Linked DNA regions of Schizosaccharomyces pombe. The main gene of each other region encodes a partner of the protein of the gene in region 2 in a complex. Each region holds a gene or a part of one and is shown on either strand. Other genes may lie near its edges. A codon is read from its position in the direction of its gene.

The links.
Region 1: the proteins of sfc7 (region 2) and sfc1 are in contact, whole or in part, in a crystal structure (PDB 4BJJ), measured with the Schizosaccharomyces pombe proteins. Residues at the interface, in NP_001343039.1 of Schizosaccharomyces pombe: Ser7 (codon at 1,802), Leu8 (codon at 1,805), Thr10 (codon at 1,811), Asp14 (codon at 1,823), Val15 (codon at 1,826), Glu16 (codon at 1,829), Asn17 (codon at 1,832), Ile18 (codon at 1,835), Val19 (codon at 1,838), Phe20 (codon at 1,841), Gln21 (codon at 1,844), Phe22 (codon at 1,847), Asn24 (codon at 1,853), Ser25 (codon at 1,856), Ser26 (codon at 1,859), Leu27 (codon at 1,862), Asp28 (codon at 1,865), Phe29 (codon at 1,868), Gln30 (codon at 1,871), Ser31 (codon at 1,874), Ser32 (codon at 1,877), Asp33 (codon at 1,880), Asp34 (codon at 1,883), Phe35 (codon at 1,886), Ser36 (codon at 1,889), Ile37 (codon at 1,892), Ile40 (codon at 1,901), Asp41 (codon at 1,904), Ile49 (codon at 1,928), Pro61 (codon at 1,964); in NP_593297.1 of Schizosaccharomyces pombe: Ser3 (codon at 2,444), Leu4 (codon at 2,441), Lys5 (codon at 2,438), Ile6 (codon at 2,435), Ser7 (codon at 2,432), Asp8 (codon at 2,429), Asn9 (codon at 2,426), Glu10 (codon at 2,423), Tyr11 (codon at 2,420), Ala12 (codon at 2,417), Leu13 (codon at 2,414), Ile14 (codon at 2,411), Glu15 (codon at 2,408), His16 (codon at 2,405), Pro17 (codon at 2,402), Gly18 (codon at 2,399), Phe19 (codon at 2,396), Ala20 (codon at 2,393), Lys23 (codon at 2,384), Phe26 (codon at 2,375), Phe27 (codon at 2,372), Leu30 (codon at 2,363), Val33 (codon at 2,354), Ile36 (codon at 2,345), Gln37 (codon at 2,342), Cys40 (codon at 2,225), Phe44 (codon at 2,213), Arg73 (codon at 2,126), Asn74 (codon at 2,123), Asp75 (codon at 2,120).

Annotation. Positions count from the first base shown.
Region 1 is NC_003424.3:1,332,694-1,337,025, forward strand, and holds sfc1 (transcription factor TFIIIC subunit Sfc1), read right to left. Parts: upstream 2,641-4,332; 5' UTR 2,451-2,640; coding exon 2,337-2,450; exon of another isoform or gene 2,281-2,336; intron 2,229-2,280; coding exon 972-2,228; 3' UTR 654-971; downstream 1-653. Other genes in the region: phosphoribosylformylglycinamidine synthase Ade3, read right to left, coding at 1-540; serine/threonine protein phosphatase PP2A regulatory subunit B-56 Par2, read left to right, coding at 3,235-3,627, 3,696-3,939, 4,012-4,208, 4,259-4,332. UniProt on the Schizosaccharomyces pombe protein: TFIIIC mediates tRNA and 5S RNA gene activation by binding to intragenic promoter elements.
Region 2 is NC_003424.3:5,097,216-5,099,995, reverse strand, and holds sfc7 (TFIIIC subunit Sfc7), read left to right. Parts: upstream 1-1,783; coding exon 1,784-2,146; downstream 2,147-2,780. Other genes in the region: protein mug95, read left to right, coding at 10-398, 484-631; ubiquitin conjugating enzyme Ubc14, read left to right, coding at 1,180-1,221, 1,283-1,489, 1,591-1,809; alkyltransferase-like protein Atl1, read right to left, coding at 2,557-2,780.

The DNA.
Region 1 (4,332 bases), 3.8 Mb from region 2:
CTTCTTATTGGCATGATTCAATCGCTCGGTTGCAGCCTGCTTGTCACCACCTTGCCCACAGTTAAGCTCTATTCTCACAAGTGGAGCTGGTTCGTGCTTATCAAAAACTTCATCCTCTTCCGGAAGTTTAAATCTTAAAGCTTCAGTCATGCGATCATAAAGATGATTCAAAGCAGATTTAAGCATCTCTTCTGAAATGTCATCTTTAAAAACTACTGAATAGGCAATACCTCTCTCTATACGAATCACATCTTTATATCCACAAACATTGGCAATGTTCGTTGCTTTGGATGACCAAGGAGAAATTGTTCCTGGACGTGGAAACACATATACCATCGTTGTTCCATCAGGCTTGAATTCAGATTCTTGCAAATCAGACAAAATTGGTCGCAGACTTTCGCAATTTAAAGAAGAATTGGACTTAGTATAGATCAAGTAGAAATAAACAGCATTTAGATCAGAAACTCCAGAAACTGTTAGTTCCAAAATTTTTTTTTTACTCTGAACGCTCAAGGCAGATCCACCATAATAAACCAACATTTTCGTCTAAAATGATACAAACTCCAAAAGTACTATTGAAATAGTAGAATGGAGATACAATTACAACCTCGCCAAATAGGTTGGCTCAGTTTATGTACTAACAAGTCAGGAAAAAATATGTACTTTAAATTGCGCTATGCAGCGTAGTATTATTGTTTGGTTCATCCGGGGGCAATCGACTAGCGCACCACTAAGCAGCTGTAAGATTAAACATCTGATAAAATTATTGACATTTGTAACCACAAAATCAAGCGAGCTACTTCAGAATTAAAAAATGAGAATTAAAGATCAGAAACAATTGATAGTTGAAACCTACTCATAAGTTATGTTTTACAAGCCATTTACCATGGTCAGTTAAACAAAAAAGAATATAATGAAATTTAAGTTGAGTATAATTTTTTGTATCGAAGTACCTTGACATGGGGGGGGGTTCAATCACCAAATATATCATCGTAGTCATCATCAATTTCCTCTAAATCCTCAAAGCCTTCATGTTCTTGACTTCTCTTCATTAAATTCCTCATTAAATCATTTATCCGATCATCTGTTGCTGAAGTATTCAAACCTCTAACAGTATCATTTAAATCTGTATTATCCTGTTCATCAAAATTCGAATATCTGTCAGATTCCTCTACCTCTTCGGCGTTTAAAATCATATTCACCGCGACTTCAGAAGGCATTTCTCCTTCGATCAGCGCAAAGAGTTTTTCACGCATAAGATCTCTAACCTTATAGTAACGACCGCTTCTATACCATCCTGTGTCCCGATGACATTCAGAACGTAACTGAGTATCTTTCAGTAGTGGTGCAATTGTGGGATCTACGATATCGCACACTTGATAAACACGATTAGTGGGAAACAAAGTCTTGCCATCAAACACGTGAGTTTTAGTCCCTTTATGTTTTCCATTTAGCTTGAGTTTAAAGAACAAAGCTTGGTAAGCAGCTGCATTAGAATCTTTTCTAGGATCGTATCCAAACCGCGTATATGTATCTCTAAATGGACCTGAAGTCCATAAATAAGAAAGGTAAGGAAGAGCAAATTTCAAATAGTGAGTATATGACGGGTCTAGATGATTTAATAAGGCTCTTCTCGTCCAAACGGGTCGTTTTTCAAAAAGAGGTTTTAAAGCTTCTATAACTTCCTGAATTGTCTTCGAAGGCTCACCTAATTTTGAGTGTCTACATGTAGGTACACTTTCAACCCCCATATTTGTAGTGATAATCCAAACTCTGCATTGACCTTTTAGATTGACTATTGTAGTTTTCCCATTAGGTAGCCGAACTCGACCTACTAGTGGATTTTGCAAGAAGTTATAAGACATGGGTAGACTTGTCTGAGAGAAAACAGGAGGAGGAGGCATGTCGACATGTTTTCTTTGTACCGGAGTTAGATCGATGGAAAACTTATTAATGGCGTTATAGTCAAGCACTCGCAGAGTGGAATCTAATTTTTGAACGAATGGTGAATTTTGAGTACTATACTGGAAATCAGCCATATCTCTGAATAAGAAAACTTGACGAATTCTACTGACATTTTGCACAGAGTTGTCCATTTTTTTAATCGTTACTAATAGGTCATTTCTGGATTGCACTCGAGCTTGTACTGGATGATGGTATTTATCTTTAGGCCTTAGATTCAACTCCAACAGAGCTTGTTTTGGGTTTTGAAATGAAGTTTGACATGCCTAGAAATTGTTAGTATTAGGTCAAAAAAGATTATCAAATTCATGTTTTATAAAAGGGGAAGCTTAAAGATGTAAGCCGGTCATTCCTATACTTTTTTAGCAATTTACCTTTTGAATTGATTGAACACCGCCTAATGTCTGAAAAAATGCATCCTTGTTATTAGCAAAGCCCGGATGCTCAATGAGTGCATATTCATTGTCAGAAATTTTTAGACTATTCATAAGATATATGCCTAATATGGTATGCTATAAAACACTGGAAAAAGTAGGGCAAAGACTTTATATATATTTGCTTTTAAAGTAATTTAATTAATAATCTGGATAACTTATTCCTCAAATGAAAAATTAATTGATACACATCAATATCATTGCTTCAAAAGCATTTTAATTTTTTGGCAGCTAAAATAATGTTGTTCCAAACCTCGGACATCGTACAACAATACAGTAACATCATAACACAAGATTTTTGCCGATCCGTTAATTCACAGTACCAGCCAATTTCCCAAGTACGTTATTTCATACTACCAGCCTTCGGTAGCGTCCCATAACATTCGAGCCACTCGCCCCGTTTTGCTTCATTTGCCAAACATAACTCATAGTAAAGTTGTCATTACAGGAAGTTTCAAGGTTAACCCTCTTAACTATTCCCTAGGGTGTTTAGCTTATATACCCATCTTATAAAGGGGCTCAGAATTCTGTTACCGAGGTTGTTGCCGTTAACTCTTTGACTTGCCGAGACATATTTACGGAGTACTTGAAAGGAACAAATCATTTATTTACCCACCACATAAATTTACCCTTTTCTAACTCATCATTGTGTACAAATTTATTAACAGACGTTCTTTTGAAGAAAGACAACGTTTACATATTCAGTAATAGGTGCATTCATTTAAGTTTCGAAATTACATTCGGTCCCAATCCTAGGAATCATTCGTTTTTTAAATTTGGTTATTCGCTATCTTTATAACTTGCAATTGAGCAAGGAAATCATCTCATTTGCCTTTTAATGAAAGGATTAAGGAGTAAATTTGTAAAAGCACTTTCGTTGAAGGATGAACAAGGGTCACATAAAAATGGTCATTCAAAAAGCCACTATATCTCTAAAAATGGGTCTTACGTGGAAACTGACGACGTGAAGCACACAGACACTCACCATTCTTCAAAACACGAGCTTAAAAAACTTAAGAGTCATTTCCTAAAAGATACTTTAAAGCACAAACGAAATCATCATGCCAACTCAAATAATGAAAAACATGAAAATTCTGATAAAAAAATACATACGACGGTTCTAGCATCTGGACATGAGGATTCTGATTACTCTACGTTTTTGCCCGTAATTGAAACTTCTAAAGTTAAAGACGCCAACCATTTCCCACCTAATTATCCAGAACCAAAAAATGTAAGTATACGTCGGTTAGTTTAATATTTTCTACCAAAATGATTATTTTCATACTAACTTACTTGTAGGATTCTGTATCGTCTAACATAGACGAATTTCCTAATGATTCCATATCTTCTGCCTCATTTTTATCTGTCCCACAATCCACTCCTCCTTATTTAGTTTCACAGCCAACTCCCTTAAATAAATTTTTAGCAGGTGCTGAGAATGTTGACATTCCGCATAGTCTTAGACCAGTACCTCGACGCGAACACTCCTCTCAATTTCAAGTATCTGAGAAAAGAACATTAGTTCGGTTGCCTTCATTTGATGGTACGTTTAGTAAGATTCTTATATCTTATTTTAATAATGTACTTTTTTTTATTCTTGTGCTAATATAATTAGATGTTCATACCTCTGAACGTGAAGAACTGTTTATAAAGAAGCTTGAACAATGCAATATTATTTTCGATTTTAATGATCCATCTTCCGATTTGGCTAGCAAAGAAATAAAAAGAGAAGCCTTATTACAAATGATAGATTATGTGTCTGAAAACCGCGGTATTTCTTCCGCATCGCTTTTTCCTTATGTTGTCAATACAGTATGTTTACTCCTCTGCTTTTTATTACTGTAAAAATCTAATCACTATAGTTTTCCCTCAATGTATTTCGGCCTATATCACCTGCTCTTAATGATTATTCATCAGATATGTTTGCTTTAGACGA
Region 2 (2,780 bases):
TTATCTCCGATGAACTTGTTTGTTTACATAGCACAGAATCCTACATTAACCAAATGGTTTTTTTGTTGTGTATGTACTATTCTTACAATGCCATTTTTTAAAAAGCCGTATAGGAAAAGGGGAATATCGAGAACGCCATATGAATGGCTTACCTATGCTGATAAATGTGTTATTGAACTTAGCAAGTCCGAATTGAAGCCCAATGAAGAAAAAGAATTACCAAAGGACATTAAAGAAGACTGCAAAACCGTAGAAGAGAAGGAAAAGGTCGTTCCAAGGAAGCCACTGCAATCTGAAGGGATTAATGAAGACGATTCCCAAAAAAATGGAGAATTAATTGTCTTGCATGGGATTAATCACCAAGCTGCGATGTTGACAGCTTGCGGTCTTTTCATGGTGTAAGTTACGACGAAAATAATGAGTGTAAATAAACATTCACAGATGAAAAGCGACGCAAGAAGGAAAATATGCTAATCATGGTAGTACATCTTCTAACACCAACAAATGGAAAATTGCCTTTGCTTCCTTTCTTTTAGGGATGTTTTTCACACAATTTGGCTTCCAAAAAAGTGAACGCAGCATTAATGCTGAAAAGCTAGAAAGCATAGAAAAGCCTGAAAATGACAACTAGGTTGTATTAAGTCGTGCTACGGCACAGACTAGATTGCAAAATTAGCTTTCTCATTAGCAATTAAATTTTTTAAAATAAAGTTAACAGGCTCATAGATGCCTAGTTTCAACTTGAGATGAAAGCCGCTTTCAATTGAAAATCTAGCTTTTCGAAAGTTTAAAGAGCGTCTGAAATGAATGCGTATTCTTCCACTCTATATTTGTTGTAAAAAGAATTAAATTAAATCTCGGCTAGCGACGCTGATTAAATATGTATACAGAAGTACATATTCTATTAAGATTGATTTCAATGTGTAACTATCAGACTCGGATTGCCAAGTTGTTATTGTAAATCCAACCAAAAACTTCAATCAATACAAAAATACTGTCCGTGATATACATCCTAGACTAAGTTGTAAATCACAGCCCAGTAATGTGCCCTATTTTCGCATGATGAATTTATATTTAATGTTAGAATCAATTTTTCCTTAAACAATACAACAATTATTAATTGCCATTAAACGTTCAGTAAAGTCCTCGCATGTAGTTACTGCTCTCTACCCTTACCAAATGGCGTCTGCATCACCTTCATCTTCCAGAAGACTGACAAAAGTAAGTAAATTTTTATATTTTTACTTTATTCTTACATAGCTAATATTCAAATGGTAACCAGGAATATTCTGACTTGCGAGAACACCCTATTCCAGATATTCGAGTTAACCTAGTTGACGACAATCTATTTCACTGGGCTTGTACAGCTCTTGGTCCATCGGATTCGGTGTACGCAGGGGGAAAATTTCATTTCTCATTAAAATTTCCTTTGGACTATCCATTTCAGCCTCCTACTATTGAGTTTACTACCAGAATATACCATCCAAATGTAAGCATTTTATCGTATTTCTGTATGGAGTAATCATTGATCACATTTTTAAACGAGATACATAATTATTTATATATTTATGAATTTTCTAACCTGTTTAGTTTGACTCTGAAGGAAACGTTTGTTTGGCCATTTTGAAACAACAAGTTTTCAAACCCAGCATCAAACTGAGGAGTGTTTTGGAGCAAATTTTGCAACTTCTTAGGGAACCTAATCCTGACGATCCTCTTGTAGCTTCCATCGCTGAACAATATCGAAACGATCGCCCTTCGTTTGACAAAATTGCTAGGGATTATGTCGAGCAATTCGCCAAGTCTTGAAACTGACGTTGATGACGTTGAAAATATTGTATTCCAATTCCAAAATTCATCTTTGGACTTTCAATCTTCCGATGACTTTTCGATTTTAGGAATCGACCAACCGCACCCTATTGTCAGAATCGGAGGAATGTTTTTCAGAGGTACCTGGCACCAGCCGATTGGAACAGATATTGTCGTTCCTTCGGTGAATGATTCTGAACTTTCTCGTGATGGCCTTGTTCTTTGTAAAAGACGACTTATGTTGGAGCAAATACGACTTGTTCCTAAAAACCCATCGCCATCATCATCAATCCATTCTCCGACACAAGGAGAGCCTGAAAATATCTCCGAGAATTGAGCGTATCTTAGTGATGAAATTAGATTAAGAAATCTGTTGCTGAAGTTTTATGGTACATTTTGTTTTGAATTCTGAAATTCATCTGTATTTATCTCTTCAGGTATTTTACATTAAGTTGCGACAAAAGATCACTTTTAATGTATTAAGTAACTTTATACGCTAAATTTTCATACATATATGGTTATGAACTAATGAAACTTTCTTGAACCCGTAAGAACATTACGTTGTTAAAAGGAAAAATGTATTATATTCTAAGCGTATTTTTATACCGAAGTTGATAGACGTTAAATGTTGAGGACATTATTAGAGATAAAAAGATTAGATTTACATTTTGACCAAAAGAAGGAGGTTGATTGCTCGTTTCAAGAGAAATAGAAAATGCAACGATATTTGCCAATTAAGTAATCGTATTAAGGCTTCCACATGTATTCTGGTAAATTCAACTTGTACTCTCCTAAAGACGTTTGGTAAATTTCGACACCCTCTTCTTCCAACCGATCCTTCTGTCTCTGTTCACCAGCAGAGATATCTCTTTTAGAAATGGTGCCACGGCTATTGATGACTCGATGCCAAGGAACATGAGTTTCAGGATGTAAATGTTTCATAGCTTGACCTACTTGTCTGGCATATGAAG